2 linked regions of the Callithrix jacchus genome follow. Each later gene encodes a partner of the first gene's protein in a complex. Links are inferred from orthologs where the notes say so. Each region holds a gene or a part of one and is shown on either strand. Other genes may lie near its edges.

Region 1 (3,743 bases):
GGGTGGAGTGCAGTGGCATGATCTCAGCTCACTGCAACCTCCAAATCCCAGCATCCCGGGTTCAAGCAATTCTCCTGCCTCAGCCTCCCAAGTAGTCAGGATTACAGGCCTGTGCACCACCATGCCTAATTTCTGTTTGTTTGTTTGTTTTTGAGACGGAGTCTCTGTCACCAGGCTGGAGTACAGTGGCGTGATCTCCACTTACTACAACCTCCAACTCCCTGGTTCAAACAATTCTCCTGCCTCAGCCTCCTAAGTAGCTGGGATTACAGGCACACATCACCACCCCCAGCTAATTTTTGTATTTTTAGTACAGAGGGGGTTTACCATGTTGGCTAGTTTCGCTCTCCTGACCCCCTCTCTTTTTTTTTTTTTTTTTTTTTTAGGCAGAGTTTCACTCCAGGCTGTAGTGCAGTGGTGCATTCTCAGTTCACTGCAACCTCTGTCTCCTTGGTTCAAGCGATCCTCCTGACTGCCTCAGCCTCATGAGTAGCTGTGATTACAGGCATGTGCCACCACACCTGGCTAATTTTATATTTTTAGTAGAGACAGGATTTCTCCATGTTGGTCAGGCTGGTCTTGAACTCCCGTTCTCAGGTGATCCACCCGCCTCAGCCTCCCAAAGTGCTGGGATTTCAGGTATGCGCCATTGCACCCCGCCCTCCTGACATCTTGTTCTGCACGCCTCAAACTCCAAAAGTGCTGGGACTACAGGTGTGAGCCACCATGCCTGGCCTTTTTTTTTTTTAAACAAAAACAAAAAAATAAGTTTTGCTTTGTCGTCCAGGCTCTCTGCACTGGTGCGATCTCAGCTCACTACAATCTCTACCTCCCAGGTTCAAGGAATTCTCCTGCCTCAGCCTCCCAAGTAGCTGGGACTACAAGCGTGTGCCACTATACCTGCTAATCTTTGTATTTTTAGTAAAGACGCGGGTTTCACCATGTTGGCCAGGCTGGTCTCGAATTCCTGACCTCAAGTGATCTGCCCACCTTGGCCTCCCAAAGTGCTGAGATTACAGGCATGAGCCACAAACCCCCCCCCCCACAATGTTTTTAAAAAGTGTATGTGGAGATACTGCCACAATTATGAATGCAGGCTGTGGTATTTAGTAATACGGTCAATAAATTCTTTTGTAATTTCAAAGTATCATTACAAAGCTAATATAAAAAGCTGTTGAATTTCTACATGCATTTCCAATTGATCTTAAATTATCAGTTGCCAATAGTTTTTAAAGTGACAAATATTAAAATTTCCAAAGTTACTTCGGAACAAGTAAGCAAATATTTCTCTTGGTTGTAGATCATCTGCAAAAGTAATGCCGTATTAAAGGCCAAAGTTATAAAACGAAATTCGTGAAACTGCCCTTTCTTTCCTTTTCTCTTTTTAGGATGGGTTGAATTAGTACTTAATTTGGGTTTCAGGAGGGCGAATTTATCTCTGAAATGGATTTTCCTCCCATCAGTTAGTCTTAATTTCTTTTCTTTTCTTTTTTTTTGAGACAGAGTTTCGCTCTTTTTACCCCAACTGGAGTGCAATGGCGCAATCTCGGCTCACCGCAACCTCCGCCTCCTGGGTTCAAGCAATTCTCCTGCCTCAGCCTCCCCAGTAGCTGGGTCTACAGGTGGGTGCCACCATGCCCAGCTAATTTTTGTATTTTTAGTAGAGACGGGGTTTCACCATGTTGACCAGGATGGTCTCGATCTCTTGACCTCGTGATCCACCTGCCTCGGCCTCCCAAAGTGCTGGGATTATAGGCGTGAGCCACCGCGTCCGGCCCTTTATTTCTTTATAAAAATCAAAAATCTAGGCCGGGCGCGGTGGCTCACGCCTGTAATTCCCAGCACTTTGGAAGGCGGAGGCCGGCGGATCATGAGGTCAAGAGATCGAGACCACCCTGTCCACCATGGGTGAAACCCTGTCTCTAAAAAAGCAAAAAAACAAACAAAAACTATTACCTAATACAGGTTTTTAAAAAGTAAATTTCTCAAGCAGTTCATTTCCCCGGTGTTCAGCCCAAAGGTGAAAACTGAGTATCTATATACATTTGCTTCAAATTAAACATTGATGACTAGAAAGCATACTTTTAAATGCAAAGTCCTTGTGGGAAAAGAGTTAGGAATCACAAGAACACAACTGCGACTTGCTACCTGTGGGTTTCCGTTCGCAGAAGCGCCCAGCGCCCGGGCGAGGGCAGCCGCAGTCCCGCTAAGGAGCACAGAGCCCTGCCCTGGCGATGACGCGCCGCTTCGGCTTTGCCCGCCCTTCCGCAACATGGCTGCGGGTGGCGCCGGGGATGCTGGGCGCGCGCCCCTCGGAACCAGGGAGGCGGTGGCGGGGGGGGCGGGGCCGGCGGGAGCCCGACGCTGATTGGCCAGCGTGGCCGCCCTGCGCCGAGGCCTGGGCTAGGATGTGAGAAGCGGCGGGCTCCTGTGTCCCGGCTCCGGGTGCCGGCGGCTGTGAGCGGCGTAGGCGGCGGGCGAGGACAGCGGGCGCCGTCGGCGGCCGACCGTGTCGGTCGCGGGATGAGGAAGCGGACCGAGCCCGTCGCCTTGGAGCATGAGCGCTGCGCCGCCGCGGGCTCGTCCTCCTCCGGCTCGGCCGCCGCGGCGCTGGACGCCGACTGCCGTCTGAAGCAGAACCTGCGCCTGACCGGCACCGGGCCGGCCGAGCCGCGCTGCGCAGCTGACGCTGGAATGAAGCGGGCGCTGGGCAGGTAAGGCTTCGCTCGGGGCGGGCGGGCCCCTCACCGGCGCAGGTGTGTCCCGCTGGGGGCCTCCTCGCATCTCCCAGCCCTTCCCAGGGTGGCCGCCAGCCCCAGCAGCCGTCCCTGTTCTGTCCCGCATCTGGTCCGCGGCGGCCCCACCCCCGCTCCCTTCCCCAGGCCCTGCGGTGAGAACGCCCTGCTCCGACCCCCCACGTCCTCCTGCCGCCGTCGCGTCCTGCACTCCCAGCCCAGCCTTGCACCGCGACCCTTTCCCGGGGTACCCAAGGGAATTCTTCCGCTGGGGGTTTGGCGCCGCCCCAAGTCTTGACCCAGGGTAGGGGGCGGGGAGTCCTTGGGAGGTCCCTGGATGCCGGGCACCGCAGTGGCGGGAGGCGGAGGGGCGGGCGCCAGACCCTGAGAGCGCTGGGGCCGTCTCGGACATCCTCCTCCTCTGCATCCGGCCCCAAACCGAGCTCCCAGACGCTCGCCCCTCCGGTCGGGCTGCGTGCGCAGAGCTTTACTGGCGCCCTGGGCGCTCGGCGGCTCTCCCCTGTAACTACGGTCGGGGGCGTGCGCCGCTCAGAAGTGGGGGACTTTTGGGGAAGGGCTCAGTGGGCCGCGGGGTACTAGGGGAAGGAAGGACATGGAGCATCGCAGCCGTCAGAGGGGAACCTGTTCGCTTTGCTGGTGGTTCCTGGCGTTTGAAATCTGTCTGCACAAGTTCGCTTCCTTGGGGATCACCTTGCAGTGCTGAGTCGTTTGATTATTGGTGTTCTTTTGGGTAGGAGATGAATGCGTTTATATAAAGCCACTTTGAAAACTGAGATGGGAACATGTTTCGTACAGACAGATTTCTCCCATCTGCTGGTTTCCTAATTATCTGGCTGTTTTTGAAGCTTTGGTATTTTGTGGTTGTTTCAAGAAGTTATTATATGATGATCTCGGGCGTAGTAGCAGTCATTTCTTTTTTGACCATCTGGAATGCCCATAGTTGACGCTGGCCACTTAAGTGTAAAATATTTATGCAAATTGCCCCTA
Region 2 (3,743 bases), on another chromosome or scaffold:
AAACGATAGGCATCATGGATCATATCAATTTCTATAAAATGACTAAGTGTGAAGTGCTTTCCTGCTCCTTCCTCCACACGTACCGGCTGGTAGGTCTCTGCCCCGCACTGGTCACAAGTGTAAGTGGCCACTACCATCTTGGGTTTGACTTCAGAGACACGGGTGACGATTCCACGCACAGTCACCAATTTCCCCACAGAGTCAGCTCGCACATCCCGGATCACACGAGGCTTGTTGCTGCTTGGGCCTTGAAAATACAGCTCACTAAGAGGAGAAAACAGTCACAAACAAGATCCTGGAGTCACAAACCAATCCCTACATCCTTCCCAACAGAGACCACTCACAATCTGCGCATGAGTTCAGCGGGATACTGGTTCTGGGGGCTTCGGGCCATCCCAGGGTCCCGAGTCCGCTGCTCCATCATAAGCCGATGTTCAATATAAACATCCAGGACATCTTTATTTACCACCTAAAGGAGAAGAGCAGAAAAAAATGAGTAACAGGATGGGGAAAGGAGAGCACAGACAATGCCAGGCAGAAGTGCCCCTGCTTTCTGCCTGGCTCCGAAAACATCAGTATCTGAGAAGCTTCTTAACAGAAGCTGAAACGCCTTGCCCTGCATTGTTCTCCAGTCACTCACCTCCCTCTCCTTGTACTGAGGCAGCAGCTCTTGTACCGCATCAGCAAACAGCTTTGCGTAGCGCCTGGCATTCTCACAAATTGAGTCCACCAACTCAGGGTCATCCTCAGCTACATCATCCAGGTCCACGTACAGAGCCACCTGTTCCCTATGAGCCAGCCGAACCTCAGGTGGGAAAGAGACAGCAACACCTCAGAGCCATGTTCACTTGTTCAGTGTTCACGTGTGAAGATGCATCACTGAGAGCTCAGCACGGGCTCTGGGCATCCACAGGGGAGAACATAGCACCTCAGAGAGCACACTCACTTCTCAGCCCCCAAACTCTCTAATTATTATGAAAATACTATAGCATCACATTCTCTTACCAGATATCAAATGCCCTGATAAACATGTCAGAAAAACATCCTTGATGAAACAAGCCGCTTCTTAGGACTTCTTAAAACCCGACTCCTCATTCTCTTTACCCAATCTTAGACTCACCAATTGGTTCCCATACTTGAACTGCTTCTTCCCAAGTTCATCATCCTGGTAGAACTCTTGTAAGAACTTCTTAACCTTTTCTGTAACGTAAAAGGTAAAATCATAAGACACAAACTTTATATTACTGCCCATCCCTCTGACAGAAATCTAAGACGCCTATTTTCACTTAAAACACGATTTATGAACTAGTTAACGATATGAGCATTTAAATAAACCTACCGAATTCTCCCCAAAATGGGTATAACTCTTTTTCACAAGTTTGTTTTTAATCAGCGAAGAATAAAGAGGTCGTGGCAGTTCACAGGATGATCCAACATCGTCTTCCCAGGGGAATTCCGGTCCCTACTTTAAAACCCTAGCGCCCTTCCTCATCGGCGCCCCACACTCCGATCTCAAGGTTCTCAGCCTTCCTTCCACCCCTATGATCCCCCACCTTCTTTGGGCCCCTGAGCCCCTGATCTCGCCAGGACCTCCGCCATCAGGCGGGTCGCGCACCCCACCCCCGCTCCCGCCAGCGCTTCCGCTCTTAGTAAACAAAGAAGCACATGGGACCGGATTCCAGCCGCCTCACAGCCCGGGATTCCTCCGCCCAGGGCGGGAGCCCATCCAGCCATTGGACAACACGCCTGGGGCCGCCGCGATCCCAGCCCACTACCGCCTTTCCGGGGCACGAGCGAAGCTCCCGGTTCCCAGGCACGCCCCCTCCCCTGGGCCACAGCTCTCTCCGAGGCCGCTGCGCGGAAGGACACTGTTTACACGACACTCCCTCCATCCGCGTCGCGCCACTTCCGCCCGGCTCCACTTCCGCTTGGAGGGCGGCCTCAAACGGCCAATCCTGGTGCGTAGCGGCCCGGCCTGCCCGCCCCCAGGGCCTCCGCGCGCCTCGGGAGGACGCGGGAACTGGGGAATGCCCAAAAGCGCGGAGGAAAGCAGGCCCGGAACCCCAGAGTCCTTAGGGTACTCCGAGGTCTTGGGCGCGATTCTCCCCTATGCAGCACCCCCCCAGCCAGGTTAGCGCCCCCAAGCCCCCAACTCCATGACCCTAACACCTTTACTACGTGGGATTACCAGCTTTTCTTCAACATGGATGCCACCTGCGCCTCGTGGGCCTCAGCCGGGCGGCCGCCCGACCCTGCCTCTAGCCTTGTGGTCCCCAGAACTTGCTGATCCCGGCTCCACAAGACCCCAGCTCACACCAATAGGTGTTCCCCGGGAGGCTCCCCGCGCAGGACGCCCTCCCAGGCTCGTAGAGCAGTACCTTTCTCGATCGCGTAGTCCTTCAGTGCCATCACTACCGAGGCCCGTACGGCAGCGCTTGGCGGACTCAGAGGTCTGGGTCCCGGGCAAGCGGAGAACGTCCGCGCGGTGGACTGTGGCTGACCAACCGAAATTGGCGCGAAACGTCGCCCCCACGTGACCGGCGCCACTGCCTGCCGGCCAATTGCAGAGGCCGGCCCTCTCCCCGCCTCCAGCTAGCCTCAAGCCAATCACCAGGAGGACCTGGAATGAGTGACGGGGAGGCGGTGTGGGCGTCGGGAGGGAATCGCCGAGCTAGGCTGGGCGGGCGTCTGGTTTCCCGCGGTCCGAGCTGGCTTAGGCGGAGCAGAATCGCTCTTAAAGGGCCAGCGCACGCGTGTTCCTTTGTTCCGGGGCCTCAGGGCGGGGCAGGCCCAACTTTCGCCGTCTTCTCGTTTACTCTCCAGAACGGCCATGATTTCCCAGTTCTTCATTCTGTCCTCCAAGGGGGACCCGCTCATCTACAAAGACTGTATCCTAGACCCGCGGGGCTGGGAAGGGGCGGAGGTGTCGGGCGGGAGGGGCGCCCGGGGCCAGCCCGTGTCGCAGGCTTCTTCACTGAGTTCTTCCACCCGCCAGTCCGTGGGGACAGTGGCGGCCGGGATGTGGCCGAGCTCTTCTACCGGAAGCTGACGGGACTGCCAGGAGACGAGTCCCCGGTTGTCATGGTAACCACTGGCGGGAGGCGGGTGGGGAGCAGGGAGCCGGCGCCCACCTGGCCCGCCGGCTCCCTCCCAGGGCTGATTCCTTGGTAGCTTCCACTTGGGATGGGGTGCATTCTTCCATATAAAACTAACAAGAGGCCCGGTGTCTCATGCCTGTAATCCCAGCACTTTGGGAGGCCGAGGGGGGCGGATCACCTGAGGTCAGGAGTTCGAAACCAGCCTGGCCAACCTGGTGAAACCCCCGCCTCTACTAAAAATACAAAAAAATTAGCCAGGCCTAGTGGTGAGCGCCTGTAATCCCAGCTACTAGGGAGGCTGAGCCAGGAGACTCGCTTGAACCCGTGAGGCAGAGGCTGCAGTGAGCCGAGATCGCCACACTGCACTCCAGCTTGGGTGACAGAGCAAGACTACATCGGGCAGGGGTCGGGGGGGGGGGGACGTTGGGACAAAAAAAACTTACATCAGGTGGCAGCAAAACACCAGGCCCAGCTCCCTTTATGACTCCATCCTCAGCAACTAGGTGTAGCTACTGTAATTAACCCCGTTTCCACATTGGGAAGCTGGGTTCAGGAACCTGTCATGTATCTCCCGAAGTCACTGCTACTGTGACTAGTAAGAGGCATCGGGATCCGAGCTCAGGTCTCCTGGGTTCTGATCACCCC

The links.
Region 2: GINS1 (region 1) and MCM7 share a complex: the UniProt entries of both Homo sapiens proteins name them as parts of the CMG helicase complex. The link is inferred for Callithrix jacchus from reciprocal best matches to the Homo sapiens genes GINS1 and MCM7.

The regions. Positions count from the first base shown.
Region 1 is NC_133506.1:32,101,765-32,105,507, reverse strand, and holds the start of GINS1 (DNA replication complex GINS protein PSF1), read right to left. Parts: upstream 2,297-3,743; 5' UTR 2,275-2,296; coding exon 2,149-2,274; intron 1-2,148. Other genes in the region: lysophosphatidylserine lipase ABHD12, read left to right, coding at 2,524-2,714. UniProt on the Homo sapiens protein: Required for correct functioning of the GINS complex, a complex that plays an essential role in the initiation of DNA replication, and progression of DNA replication forks.
Region 2 is NC_133503.1:13,483,027-13,486,769, reverse strand, and holds the start of MCM7 (DNA replication licensing factor MCM7), read right to left. Parts: upstream 2,507-3,743; 5' UTR 2,410-2,506; coding exon 2,379-2,409; intron 2,131-2,378; exon of another isoform or gene 1,952-2,130; intron 1,656-1,951; exon of another isoform or gene 1,340-1,655; intron 1,201-1,339; coding exon 1,121-1,200; intron 806-1,120; coding exon 641-805; exon of another isoform or gene 637-640; intron 470-636; coding exon 345-469; intron 265-344; coding exon 84-264; intron 1-83. Other genes in the region: AP4M1 (AP-4 complex subunit mu-1), read left to right, coding at 2,831-2,888, 2,996-3,084. UniProt on the Homo sapiens protein: Acts as a component of the MCM2-7 complex (MCM complex) which is the replicative helicase essential for 'once per cell cycle' DNA replication initiation and elongation in eukaryotic cells.